Ovis aries: one gene and its partners. The protein of the gene in region 2 purifies or fractionates together with the protein of the main gene of each other region. This does not show direct contact. Links are inferred from orthologs where the notes say so. Each region holds a gene or a part of one and is shown on either strand. Other genes may lie near its edges.

Region 1 (4,938 bases), on a different chromosome or scaffold from region 2:
TAAGTTACTGTGTTCCTCTAGAGCTAAAACCACAACACCGGGAAAAAGAACAAATTACACTAAATATTTTGAAGAACAAATCTTGTGTTTAATGTTACATATTAACATATATTTTGTATATATTAAAAACATACACTTTAAATTCTCCAAAATATGTAGTAGTGTCTCCTTTTACAAAAAAGGTGTATTCAACTGTGGAAGCACATAATTTTTTTTTTTTTAAATAATCCATACCTAAGGAGAAACTACCTATAAATATTCATTCCATTGGGTGGCAGGTACTAGAATCACAACACAATGCTTAAGAAAAAGCAAACAGCATTTACAGGAACAGCTTTGCATTTCAAAACCTACTGAATTATGGCAACCACTGCAGAGAGATCAGAATTTTGTTGTTTTACCTTCACATTTCTTACTAATAGTGACCCACTCCAAGGAAACATAGAAACCACTTCCTTTCATAGCCAATTCCTCTTTCTCTATTCGAAGGAGGAGAGTAGCTATTGCATGTTCTTCAGCTTTCAGCAATGAGATACTGTGAATTATGATAAAAGGACTCCCAAGCTCTTCATTAAATACAATCTACAAAAAAGAAAAAAAGATGGCATTCACAAAAACGTATTACATGAATGCATAGAGCACAGAGGAAATACACAGAATTCTGACAATCCAACAAGTAATTTGGATACTGTTTACTGCAAGGACACAAGAACAGAAAAGCCCTGAAATAAAGCTTATAAGTTTAAAATACAGCTTAAAGAAATAACTTTTAGAAAACATCTATTTGTTTAACAGAGAAAACTGATCAGTAAGCACAGAAAACAAAAGGGCCTCCAAATGGCATCTACAAGAGAAAGGGAATTAAAAGCAATCCTCTAGAAAAGAATTGCCAAGTGAAAAAGAGTGCTCCGTACAGAGGAAATGAGGTCAATATTCCCTTACTGCATCTCTTCCCCTGTCTCATATCTAATTTATTGAGATATATTAATATATTGTATAATATTATATCCATCCATTTATAATAGTCATTTATATTATATGTTAATATATTAATCATATCTCTAATTTATTTCTGCCTTCTTCTTAGTTTCTGAATACTGTTTGTATATATGTGCGTATATCTTTCTTTCCTATTGTTTTTGTTTGCTTTGTGTTGTTTGTTTTCTGGAAACTTACAAAGGTACAGTGTCAGACTTTATTTTTTTGGGCTCCAAAATCACTGCAGATGGTGACTGCAGCCATGAAATTAAAAGACGCTTACTCCTTGGAAGAAAAGTTATGACCAACCTAGATAGCATATTCAAGAGCAGAGATATTACTTTGCCAACAAAGGTCCGTCTAGTCAAGGCTATGGTTTTTCCAGTGGTCATGTATGGATGTGAGAGTTGGACTATGAAGAAGGCTGAGCGCCAAAGAATTAATGCTTTTGAACTGTGGTGTTGGAGAAGACTGTTGAGAGTCCCATGGACTGCAAGGAGATCCAACCAGTCCATTCTGAAGGAGATCAGCCCTGGCTGTTCTTTGGAGGGAATGATGCTAAAGCTGAAACTCCAGTACTTTGGCCACCTCATGCGAAGAGTTGACTCATTGGAAATGACTCTGATGCTGGGAGGGATTGGGGGCAAGAGGAGAAGGGGACGACAGAGGATGAGATGGCTGGATGGCATCACCGAATCGATTGATGTGAGTCTGAGTCAACTCTGGGAGTTGGTGATAGACAGGGAGGCCTGGCGTGCTGCGATTCATGGGGTCGCAAAGGGTCGGACATGACTGAGCAACTAAACTGAACTGAAGAGTCAAAGGAACTGGAGAACAAATCATGAAAACTTTCTTACTGTTCTAAAACAAAAGATCTCATGTCATCTAAAAAGATAATTCCACTAACTGTTAAATATTGAAATTTCTTCTAAGGAAAAAAAAAAAAGCAAATCAAAGCATCATGGAAAGATGTACAAAATCTTATCAAATTCTTCTTAAAACACATAATCTAAAAGACTACTGTATCTTTGTTAAATATCGATCAGGAAAGGTTTTAAGACTGATTTCGAAACAAGTTTTTCAAATAAGTGAAAAAATAAATAGATAAATAGTTTGAATACAAATCTAACTGAAACACAAGAATTAGCTCTTTTTTTCTTTTTAAACCTGTATCTGGAATCACCTGGGCTGCTACCTGAAAGCCTTATTAAAAAAAAGGTTGCATTACCCTAATGCTCACAGCAGGAGTACTTAAAATAGCCAAGACATGGAAGTAATCTAAATGTCTATCAACAGATGAATGGATAAGGATGTGGTATACATACAATGGAATACTATTCAGCCATAAAAAGAATAAATAATGCCATCTGCAGCAACACGGATGGACCCAAAGGTTATCCAACTTAAGTGAAATAAGTCAGACAGAGAAAGACGAATATCACACAATATCACTTATCTAAAACATGATACAAATTAACTGATTTACAAAACAGGAAAACACTCAGAAAACAAACTTATAGTTACCAAAGGGGAAGAGGGATAAATTAGGAATTTGGGATTATCATATACAAACTACCATATATAAAATAGGTAAACAAAAAGTTCCCACTGTATAACATAGGGACCTATATTCAATACTTTGAAATAAACTACAATGGAAAAGAATATACATACATACATACATACATATATATATGTATATATATATACACATATATCACTCAATCACTTTGCTCAATCACTTTGCTGTACACCAAATCTAACAAAACACTGCAAATTGTAACTAGAGTTCAATAAAAAGAAAAATGTGCTTAAATGTCATTAGTTTCCCTTTGTGTTTGAGCAACTCTACCAAAATTATTCAAACAGTAGACCTTTGGAATCCATTCTAAATTCTTCCATAGGTAAGGGGAGAGCCCTCCCTCAAATACCCAAAATAGAGAAGATAGACACATTTTTGGTTAAGTGGGTTTTGCTTCTGTTTGGGGGACAAGAATAAATAAAAGGGTAGGAAGAAAAAATGGTAAGTTTTGCCAAGTCCAAGTAGCCAGATTCCTGTTTCCTCCCCCTCTTTCTCGCTCATGTAAGGCCAGAGGAGACCATGTCAGGACTTTTAGAAACTCTTAGGTTGACGTTTCCAGTCCCCTGAACAAGCCTAGCAAATCAATTGTGAAGCTGTTGATACACAGCACTCCCATCATGTTAGAGGCCACACATGCCCTGCCTTCTTTCACTTCTCCTTCTACATTTCAGACATCACCACCACGCTTGCTGGGCCCCCTTATGCCCTACCATGCCCCCATCACTTCCACCTTTAGCCTTCTCTCTTACACCAATTCCCCCAAAGTCCTAAAACTCATATATTTCTCTCAAAGTGACCACTATCCCACAGTATCCCTTCCACTTCAGTTAACCCCCTGGTCCCATAATTTCCCCACTGTCCCCACCTCCCCAGAGAGGACTGACTTCATTATGGCAGTATATATACTGAAGAACATATGAAGTAAATTCAATTTTTAATTTATTTTAAAAATCTTATTGAAGGACTTATATGGACTAAGGAGATATACATAGCAGAAACCAAATGAATTATAAACCCATATGAATTTTCTTCTGATGGACTACGTGGTATTATTCTTAATCCGAAGGTGAAGAGGGTCAGTGTGTTTCTTACACCAACAGAATCCCCATAGCTTGATAACAGATACATTCTCATTCATATCGCTCCTGTCCATCATTCTCCAAATTCTTTTCAACTGTTTCAGATAGCTGGGTGCTATATACCATATATCCTCAGTCAAAAAAGAAAAGAAAAAATTATTGGAGGCAGAAACAGAATATGTCACAATGTCCAATGAATATTTAAAACTGTGACTGACTGCAAAGGCCTCCTATAAACAGGCTGTTGTTCTGGTATTTCATCGTGTTTTGTGTTTAACTTTTTGAACACACTGCAATTAGGTAGTGCAGGATCTGGTATAACAATAAGAAAGGTAAACCACTAAGGTCTTGTTGTTTCTCTCAAATAATTAAAGCCCAGTGTTTACAGGCACCTGTTGGTCTGATAAAAATGTTTTATAAGATGTAAAATATTAAATTCTATCTCTTTAGCTACCTAGAACTAAAGGCCACCTGCTGAAATTTAGAAGGCAGCAATATCACGTTGTACTTTATTAGCACAACTCAGTGTCACTCTGTCTACTTTCAAAACCTGTGGCTCTGGAGAAACTAATTTCATGTTTATTATTACTAAAATGCAAACCTGCCCCTCAGATTCAAGTCTGTTATATTGTTTAAAAAAAACTGAAATAAAAATGGCATCGTGGACACTGGTATATAACTACAGTTATAAATCAAATCCCTTACGATTATACCATGGAAGTGACAAATGGATTTAAGGGATTAGATCTGATAGACAGAGTGCCAGAAGAACTATGGAATGAGGTTTGTGACATTGTACAGGAGACAGAAATCAAGACCATCCCTAAGGAAAAAGAAATGCAAAAAACCAAAATGGTTGTCTGGGGAGGCCTTACAAATAGCTGAGAAAAGAAGAGAAACTAACGGCAAAGGAGAAAAGGAAAGATATAACCATTTGAATGCAAAGTTCCAAAAAGAATAGCAAGGATAAGAAAGCCTTCTTCAGTGATCAGTGCAAAGAAATAGAGGTAAACAATAGAATGGGAAAGACTAGAGATCTCTTCAGGAAAATTAGAGATACCAAGGAACATTTCATGCAAAGATGGGCTCGATAAAGGACAGAAATGGTCTGGACCTAACCGAATCAGAAGATATTAAGAAGAGGTGGCAAGGATACACAGAAGAAGTACACAAAAACGATCTTCACGACCCAGATAACCACGATGGTGTGATCACTCACCTAGAGCCAGACATCCTGGAGTGGGAAGTCAAGTGGGGCTTAGGAAGCATCACTAGGAACAAGCTAGTGGAGGTGTTGGA
Region 2 (4,938 bases):
GTAGACTTAAATTTTAAAATATCCTTTGCTCTTGGGTAGGATATCTCAACTTTATTATTTATTCTCCCCTAAGAAAACTTATAAATTTAATGTGATCTCAATAAAAATGCCAATGAGATTTTTTAAATGAAGCCACTAGATGAACTAATACTAAAGTTCAAAAGAAATATAAGCATGTAAAAACAGCTAAGGAAAATAAAGAGCTGAGAGGAGACTAACAGATACTAAAACATCCTTATACATTTTTAAAATATTTAATACAAGTTTTTAAATATTTAGTTAAAATATTTAATATAAATATTTAAAACAGTGTGTTGTACTGATTTATGAATAAAGAGAACAACAGAATAGAACAGAAAGCCTCCAAACAGACACAAGTATTAATACATATTGAACTTTAGTATATGGTAAAAGTGGTATCTCAAATACTGGGCAAAGACAGCCCTTCAAATAAAATTGGGGGAGCGGGGTGGACAACTGGATAGTCACTGGAAAATTGTAAGATCCATTTCTCATTCTGTATAAATATAATAATAAAACCTAATAGATCATATATTTAATATGAAATTATACATATATTAGAAGAAAACATGGGTGAATTCTTATTACTCAAAAGCCCAATGCGATAAAAGAAAAGATCAAAAAATTTGCATAAAAATTAAAAACTTGTGCATGACCAAAGTATCATGAGAAAATCAAAGGACAAATGACAAATTGGGAGAAAATATCACAACACATTTCACAGCTAAAGAACTAATATCTCTAATATACAAAAACTTTAATAAAGGAAACAAAAGACCGAAAATCCTACAGAAAATTAGAAAAGACACGAGCAGACAATATTCAAAAGATATTAAATGATCTCTAAAAATATGAAAGGATGTTTACCTTCCCTCATAATAAGAGAAATTCAAGTTAAAACTACACTGAGATACCCTTTCTAGTCCATCTGGAAAAACTGGGAAAACTTCAAAATACGATATATGTACTCTACTGGTAAGGGTATGGGGAAGCAGGCTGGTAGAATTTAACATTCTCTATGAAACTACATACTTATCTACTCTTCAACCTAGCATATGGACTTCTAGAAATTTACCCTCAGGACACACCACCAAAATTTCAAGAAAACATAGACATAAGGTTGTCCACTGCAACATTATCTGTAATCACAGAATATTGCAAAGTATCCAAACATTCACACACAGGAGATGCATTCAGCAAACTACACTACAAAATGAACTTCATAACCTCCCAAGGTTTCCCAAAGATTCAAAATGTCTACTTGAATACACAGGCTAAGTTGGTTTTTTAAAAGTAGGTAAATACAAGAAGAGAGTAAATAGGGTCAGTTACACCTCTTGAGTGAGAATTAAATAAAAATGAAGGAATAAAATCTTTTAACTTTAATTCATCTAACTAAAATCTATCGCTATTTTGATTTCCTTTTTGACACATTCTCACCAGTTCTACTCAACACATATTGGAAGTCCTAGTCATTTTAATAAGGCAAGGAAAAAAAGGAAAGGTACCTGAATTGGAAATGAAGTGGAAATGAAGTATCTATTCACAATAACACGATTATTTACATAAAACAATCCTAAGGGATGTATATTACAACTACTAGAACCTATAAGGGAACTTAAAAAAAAATAAGGGAACTTAGCAAGAATATTGAGTTATGGGAATGTTTTTAAAAAAGGTATTTTTTAATATAGTACTAGTAGCAAACAATGAAATAGAAATGTTAATAAAATGGATTTCTAAAAGCATAAAATATTTAGATATTAATTTAACAAAAGATGTGCAAGACCTCTAGAGTAAATGCTACCAAATACTGCTCAGATAAATTAAAGAAGACCTAAATAAAGGGAGTGATATGCCATATTCATGAACTGAAGAATTATTATTATTAAGCTGTTACCTTTCCCCAAATTGATTATAGATTTAACACAACTCCAATCATAATCCTAGAAGGAAATTATAACCTGATTCTAAATTTTATATGGAAAGCAAAGGAACTAAAATATTACAAAACATGAAAAAGTTGGGAGACCACACATTTAAGAGGTACCATAAAGCTACATTAATTCATACAGTATGATACTGGCATAGGACCAATAAATAGTTCCACAGAATGTGATAAGCATCCCAGAAACATACCTACAGTTATATGGTTATCTGCTTTTCAGACAAAGATGTCAAGCACTCCAGTGGGGAAAGAGAATTGTTTTAAATTATGCTGGAGTAACTGGAAATCACAATGGAAAAAAACCTGAACGTACACACAAATATTAATTCAAGTTGGATCACAGCCCAAAATGTAAAAGCTAACACTGTAAAACATTCACAATAAAACATGGCAAAGTATCCTGAAGACTTAGACAAACGTTTTTGAGGACACAGAAAGCAATAACTGTGAAAGAAAAAAATTAATAAATTAGACTTCATAAAACTTAAAACTTGTTCATCAAAAGACACTATTAAGAACAGAAATGTTACGGTAAGCCAGAGACTGGGAGAAAACAGGGTCATATTTAAACTACCTTGAACTCATCTGAGATTTCAGACACAAAGGATGATATCTGCTTCATGAGCCTGTCCACACTGCTCTCACTTCCTGTTTTGAGAAGCGTAGTAATGGCCAGGGTAGCAATGCTTCTGTTTGAGTCTGTGATTAAGTTTTCTAGGTCCAGATTGCAGGCAGTAACAGCAGAGGGGTGCTTCATTGCCACCTTGTCAAAGGGCAAGAAAAAAAATTTAACAAATTGCTACTCATAAAGACCAGAATTTTAAAAAATAAAAGAGGAAAATATGAATTTTAATTAAAGTAAATGGCTTTTGAAAATCTAAATGAAACAGCATAAGTTAAAAAATAATTATTTCAAGATGAATGCTTTGGATTAATAAAGTATGCTACATTATTTGATAAATGACTAACTGCTAGTTATAGTACTGCATAGCACTTCATCTTCATAGGTTTCTATAACCTTTATAACAATATCATAGTCTGTCTTTTACTATAGTTGGACTGTTTCTCCTCATAGTACATGTGTTCATGGTTATCTATTCTACTAGATGTTAGGATCTGTGAGAGTAGGAGCTAGAATGATAAACATTGCTGAAAGATATTTAAACTTAGTATCACTTACAATACTTCTGGTATTTAAGCAAGCAAACTCCAGCCAAATTGGATTGGCCATGGTCACTAAAACATGTCTGTCATTGACCTGATTCTTTGCTTTTATTGATGATGTTCACCTCTCTGCTTAACCCACTACTGGTATAGAATCCTTTACCATACAATGCTAAAATTCTGAAAACTCAGCAAAGGAGTGGCATCAAAATTCACTTCACAGCAAAACATGACCCAAACTAATGTAAAACTAAGTATTAATTTATTCCAGTTAGTGAGGATAGTCATATATATAAAGCAGAAATATTAACGTGTTTGTGTCTAATTGCTCCAGGCACAAAGGGGTTAGTATTAATTTAAGAGATGGCATGATATTACCTCTCTAAAATTCAAACATTGCTGAGTTCTCAGATACATTTGGCTGCAAGATTATAGATGAAGAAATGTACACCTATATCAAACTCTTCAAAATACAATTCATATTGTTCGGTAAGGCTGCTCTAAATTTCTCTCTTTTCCAATTGTTCATACAATTAATTTATAATCTAGTGTTGTATGTAACTATATTAGATCAGTCTTCTATAATATTAAACTTTCATTTACAATTTTCATAGTTATTTAATTCATCCTGTGCTTTGCACTGTATCCTCCAGATTTACGCTGTCCAATACGGTAGCCAATAACCACACATGACTACTAAGCATTTGAAATATGACTATTCCAAATTGAGGTGTGCTCTAAATACAAAATAAACTATATATCAAAGACTTAGTATGAAAAGCTAGAAGGTAAAAATGTATCAATATGCAACCAGTATAAAATTATCAGATATATTTTATAAACGTGATGGTAAATAAGATGTATTATTAAAATAAATCTCATCATAAAAAAACTTAATGTGGCTACAATAAAATGTAAAATTACACAAGTGACTCATATAAGTGTTTCTACTGGATGGCGTTGCTATAGACCAGCCTTGTCCAAGAGAACTTCCTGCAGTGATGGAAATATTTTATATATGCAGTGTCTAATATCATAATCAATAACAACACATGGTTATTGACCACATGAAGTGTGACTGCAATGACTGAGGAACTGAATTTTTAAATTTTTATTTAATTATAATTAACTTAAATGGAAACAGCCACTTATGGCTAATGTCCATCATATTGGATGGTATGGCTCTTGAATGTAAAATGTTTAAAGTCAGAAATGAATTACAATCCTTAGTTGAATACTACTACCTATAGCCATATGTAAGGCCACAAATGCAAGTGAGGTGCTACAGAAGTGAAGCCCATAAATCATATCTACTAACCTTGGACGGAAAGCCAAATGCTTCAATTTAATGTTTCTCAATCAAACACTGATACAAAACAATAGTTATAATAGTTAGAAAGGGAACCCCTACCTTGTTCAAGGTCCTTACAGCTGCGTATCTCAAAGCTGGCTTAGGAGAACTACAGAAAAGCTGAAGAACTAGGAAAGAAAAAGAGTCACTGTTAATATGGCTCATTTCAACATTTAGCATATTTCTGAAAATATAGCACATGAAAAATCATATTAAAAATGCACACAAGGAAATTAGATCATAGCATCAAAAATTCACATAAAAATATACCATCAAAACTAGAAAAAGTACTTTTTGTTGAGTTATACAAACTTTAAATATAGGAAACAAAGTTTATTCTTTTTCCTAAAAAATTAATATACCCATTAATATCTGAATTTAAAGAACAGGAATATTTATAGTTATAAGAGAAAATGGGCTTTTTAAACATGAAAAAAATGTAATTTACTTGTCT
Region 3 (4,938 bases), on a different chromosome or scaffold from region 2:
TATCAAAACACAGACAGTGTGTCCTACGCAGACACAGAGAGAAAGCTGGGAAAGCTTCCATTCCAGGTTGATTTAGTTGCTCGGCCATGTCTGTGAGGCTGACATGGATCTCGGACAACTTCATCAGCCAGTCAGAAGCCAAAGGCACACGGCAGTCCTTGGGCCCAGAACCAGTCACAAGGGCCTGCCAGTGGTTCAGGAAGTGAGAGCAGAGATGGCAGAGTGTGGGGATTCTCACCTCATTTTCATAGGAGCTGCCGATCACATAGAAATAGAGATCAATACTGCTTTTGTATACCACTGTCAGGCCTTCCAAGAGGGCAATTTCACCTGTGGGGATGGGTGGGGGAAACAAAGGTGGAAACAGTGGGTGGTCTGAGACTTAAAGAGTTAGGGTAGAGGGACTTACCATGAATTAGTATTCAGCTACGTGGGGCTGACAGAAGGTGGGTCTTAATGGCCCCCCTCAAGACCAAAGTTGACCTGCTTTTTCTTTTCAGATGATAACAGAAGGCAAGTATGAATGGGGGAGTCTAAGCACCTTCTTCTTTAACTGCTCCCCGCCCCTACTACCCTTATTTCCCTCCTTGCATATGAGACAGGATACTAGTCAATCCTTCGGAGGTGAAAATGCAGAGCGGTCACCTTTACAGACTTCCATTTACCTGCCCTAATGGATGCGGTACAATAAGCAGAGCTGCAGTTAAATTTGTCAAGTGAGGCTCATAAATCCAGGGACTAGACAGGTAGCTAACAGCCAACCTTCTAGCACGGTATTCCCGCGTGAGGTACACTCACCTCCCCATTACATTTCTGAAGAGTTTATTATATGAGGGGAGGAGGGAAAAAAGAGAAAAAGGAGGCAGAGTCATTTTATCCTTTCTCCACAGTCCCACTGCTGCCCCCTTCCCGCTGTGGCTTCCCCCTGGCCACCCACCACGGGGAGTAGTGAAAAGGAAAACGACCTACTGTCAGTCCGATGGGTCTTGTTGAAAATGTTCTTCTCAAAGGCCTTTTGCTCCTTGACACTGGGGTAGGTGTCGTCATAGTACTGGTCAGAGGGAAGGAGACGGGTTGGGCTGTTAGAGCTGGAAGCGCAGGATGATTAGTGACTGTTTTGCCCTGGGTCTTGGATTTCTCCCCTTCAAGGGATGGGGTGAAGAGAAATACTGACAGGAAGAAGGGAGAACCATAGAGGTAGGGAATGAGCAGTGAGTAATCGGATAGAAAACAAACTTTTTAAGGACCCTGCTCTAAGCCACCCTACCTCATGGTTCCCAGGTTGGAAGGGCAAAAGGCCTAGAAGCCCTGTGAGGAGGCTCTGCCCCATCTGTACGCCAGAGCAGCAGCCCTGAGGCCATCCCCAGGCACCAGGTCAGGGAGCACTGCTAGAGAACACAGAAGGCACCAGCCCTCACTCACTGAGCAAAGCTGAGGAATTGGGAAGGGCTGCAAAACCCTCCTCCGTAGAAGGACAAGCTCTGCCTGGGCTCTCGGCTCTCTGGTATTTTAGCTTCCTTTCCAGCAAACTCAAACAAGCGGGAGGCAAGCTAGCACACCATGGAGCCCACTCCCAAGCTCTCCCTGGCACGGGGGCGGAGATGCAGGCTGCTAAATCGCTCTGCTCTTTAGGGGCTAATCCGTCGCAGTCAGCTGAAGACCTATGACAGGTCTGGCATTTAGTAACTGGATAACTGTTTCAAAAGGTGTCCTGCATAGTTACATCCAATTACAGGGAGGAACAGCTGGTGAATTCTAAACTAATCTCTACCTGCTGATTGATTTATGTGATGCTTGCCCGGAGTTAATACACCAGGGACAGAAAAAATTTCTCTAGGAGGGGGAGAATATGGAGAGAGAGGAGAGGGGTGTCCTTCCTCTTCTCTTTCAATGGATCCAAAGTTAGAAACATCGGACCGGGAAAGTCAGGAAGTAGCAAGCTTGGTGGTGACTGCGGATGTAGGGCTGGAACCATGGAACTGCACGAGAATTCCCTGGAAAAACTCAGGCAGGATGATGGGGTAGAAGGGAAAGGGACAGGGGTGATGGGCCTAGGCAGGCTGCTTCTTACATCCATACACTTCTTTGTTCAGAAACCAAGCTCCAAAGCTTTTCTCTCTTCTGATGTTGATGACAAAGTCTAAGGATGGGTGGATAGGGAAGCAGAGCAACTAACAGATAGGAGCAGTTTAGGTTTTATCTGGAGTAGTCAGATAGAAGATTTCTCAAAATTATTTGTGGATGAATAGGAGTGAATGGGGCCAGTCCCAAGATCCAAAACTCTGTCTTGCTTCTCAACTAATCTGAAAGGGAATCTCACCTTGGCAAAAAGTCGATCTCCATCATTGTCCAGAATCAGGATGGCTTTGACGGTATACAGGGAGGGTTCCTGAAGAGATATGAACACATCTTCAGTCCTGAAGGCTCTTGCCACCACTCACAAACCAGATACCTTCTCCTAATCCTACTGGTGCTGCAATGGGTTAGAGATGTCTCTGTATGTCCCCTATCCCAGCCTGGTTAGATTTTGACATTTGCCACTGAGAATGACTGAGCGACAAATGAACTGAATTGAGGGAGGGGACTTTTCAACAAAGGACCCAGAGCAGTGCCAGAGAAACAATTTCTATGAGCCAGACTCACAGAGGGCTTAGTCAAAGTAGGTCATGCTGTTATTTCCAAATATTATGCTATAGTTATTTTCCAAATTACTCTCCCTCCTCCCTGGTCTCCCATGCACAGGTGGGTATGGAATGTGACCAGATTAATTAATAAGCACTGCACGGGGCTATAGGAAAACAGGGTTGAATGCCCTAGTGTACTTGGAAGTTGCTGCAGTGGCAATGCAGAGGCATAAAGCAAGCCTTCCCTAAACCACCCACTCACTGAGCAGAGGGGAAGGAGCAGGCATGCGCACATGTACACACTCACACACAGACACACCAGTTCTGAATGCAGCCCAGGGAGACATCCATCTTCTAAGACTTCTCCTAGGATCCCAACTCCCCTACTCTACCCTGACCGCCACCACTTAACTTGCCAAGACAAAAAACAATCTGAATTTGGGGTCGTTAAGAAGCAGTAAGAAGAGGCTCCATCTAAGAAACACTGTGAAACCTGCAGATAAGGAGCAGGAGAGGAGTGGTCCTTCACCACCAAGAATCAACCTTTGAGGAAACTGGCTCTCATAAAGAAATCAGGGACGTCTCTGGTGACCCAGTGGTTAAGACTCCATGCTTCCACTGTGGAGGGCATGGGTTTGTCTCGGGTTGGGAAACTAAGATTCTGCATGCCACACGGCACGGCCACAAAAAAAAAAAAAGAAAGAGAGAAAGAAAGAAATCAAGAATCTCAGCCTTAATGGTTACACTCAAACTCAAAGCATATCACTTTGTAAAAGCTCCTCCACTTCTGCAACTTCCAGGGAACCAACTAACACGAAAGGAAGAAGGGAAGGGAGGCAGCGGTACATGTATGAAAGCGTTTGCCGGCACACAGTCCTGACTATCAACATTACTTACCATGCATATCCTTCTCCTGTGCTATAAGACAAGGCTGATGGTTTGCTACCTCCATTTCCTGATCCTACTTAGGAAACCCACAGCTCTCACAGGGCCAAACACATTCTCTATTCTCCAAGCATACATTTAACAAAGACCCAAAGGTGAGGAGGAAAGAATCGCTGCCAAGGATCTGTAGCTTCTACCAAGGTAAACTATCCTATGAGGCTCCAAGAGGTTTATGGTTCCAAGCAAAGAACCAACCTGAGTTCAAGGAGTTCAGAAGGAGAGGAAAGGGAACCCAGTATTTTGAGAACAGAGTGATGAAGAATGTAAGCTTTCCCCACTTGGATTCTTGAGGAAGAAAATTTTATTTCATTCATTGATTTATTACAAGTGTCCAGAATAATACACATACTAAATTCTCAAAATTTATTGAATGATTCTGAGAATAAATGAACTTTGAGAGTAAGATAAAAACTTATTGATGCAATAAGCATCTAGGGGATTTCTCTTATAATCAGGCTTCCGCATACAGGTAGATTTTCTGGTGTGGCCCTTTTGGGTGACATTACTACCAACTCATCCTCCTCTGATGAACACATCAGGGGAATGAGTTTCCTTAACGAAGGAAAAGAAGTCCATCAGGAAGGGAATTCAGAAGAAATTTTTCCCACAGCCTCTTCCCTGGAAATCTTTGGCTCTGTTCAGGCTATCTGCAACCTTAGAGAGCTTCCCAATGGCTTAAACGGGCATTGATCTGGCACAGGTAACTCATGCTTGCAGCCGCAGAGTCTGGCATCTCTAGAAAGAACCGGATCCCAAAGCAGAGGAAGACGGTTACGGCCATCAGCCAAGTCGGAGAGCCAGACAATCCTCTGTGGCCAATAGGGAAAGAGAGTGCCTAAAACAACTGGCAAAGAGGGGACAGACGCCTGGGTCCTGTTCCCGGCTCTTTTCACTGGCTTCCTAGAAGGCACCATCAAGGAAACCCCCAAAATAGAAACATGGATCTTCCTGGGAAGGATAAAAGACAGGGCAAAGGCGGGGGAAGGAGAAGACCAGATGTGATTGTAAATCTGAAAGGGGTAAGAAGGCACTAGAGAAAAGGCTGGTCATTTCAAACTTCCAAAGGAACGACCACTCTAAATAAAGCCGAGAACTTGGGCAGAGCTTCCATGCTGCTTCAGTTCTCCGCTTGGCTAGGGCCAGACTGGCAGCTTCTCCTTTACTTTCCTGCCGCCTCCTGACTGCAGCTGGTTCCACTTCAGCTTGGGGCCTTTACCTCTCAGGAGTGTGTGTGGGGGTGGGGAAGGGGTGGGCAGGGGAGGGCCTGAAGTTCCTCTCATATCATAAAACCAGCCTGTTTCTAGGGCCCAGAAGCCACTCAGTTCAGTTCAGTCGCTCAGTCGTGTCCGACTCTTTGAGATTACTGATA

What was found.
Region 1: the proteins of COPG2 (region 2) and NUDCD1 purify together in Homo sapiens (co-immunoprecipitation; 3 studies listed by BioGRID and IntAct, with this or other methods). This does not show direct contact. The link is inferred for Ovis aries from reciprocal best matches to the Homo sapiens genes COPG2 and NUDCD1.
Region 3: the proteins of COPG2 (region 2) and COPZ1 fractionate together in Homo sapiens (co-fractionation; 5 studies listed by BioGRID and IntAct, with this or other methods). This does not show direct contact. The link is inferred for Ovis aries from reciprocal best matches to the Homo sapiens genes COPG2 and COPZ1.

Annotation. Positions count from the first base shown.
Region 1 is NC_056062.1:68,042,293-68,047,230, reverse strand, and holds part of NUDCD1 (nudC domain-containing protein 1), read right to left. Parts: intron 583-4,938; coding exon 402-582; intron 1-401.
Region 2 is NC_056057.1:96,015,342-96,020,279, forward strand, and holds part of COPG2 (coatomer subunit gamma-2), read right to left. Parts: intron 4,613-4,938; coding exon 4,545-4,612; intron 2,733-4,544; coding exon 2,544-2,732; intron 1-2,543. UniProt on the Homo sapiens protein: The coatomer is a cytosolic protein complex that binds to dilysine motifs and reversibly associates with Golgi non-clathrin-coated vesicles, which further mediate biosynthetic protein transport from the ER, via the Golgi up to the trans Golgi network.
Region 3 is NC_056056.1:132,213,423-132,218,360, forward strand, and holds part of COPZ1 (coatomer subunit zeta-1), read right to left. Parts: intron 2,391-4,938; exon of another isoform or gene 2,390-2,390; coding exon 2,321-2,389; intron 1,089-2,320; coding exon of another isoform or gene 1,052-1,088; coding exon 970-1,051; intron 331-969; coding exon 239-330; intron 1-238. UniProt on the Homo sapiens protein: The coatomer is a cytosolic protein complex that binds to dilysine motifs and reversibly associates with Golgi non-clathrin-coated vesicles, which further mediate biosynthetic protein transport from the ER, via the Golgi up to the trans Golgi network.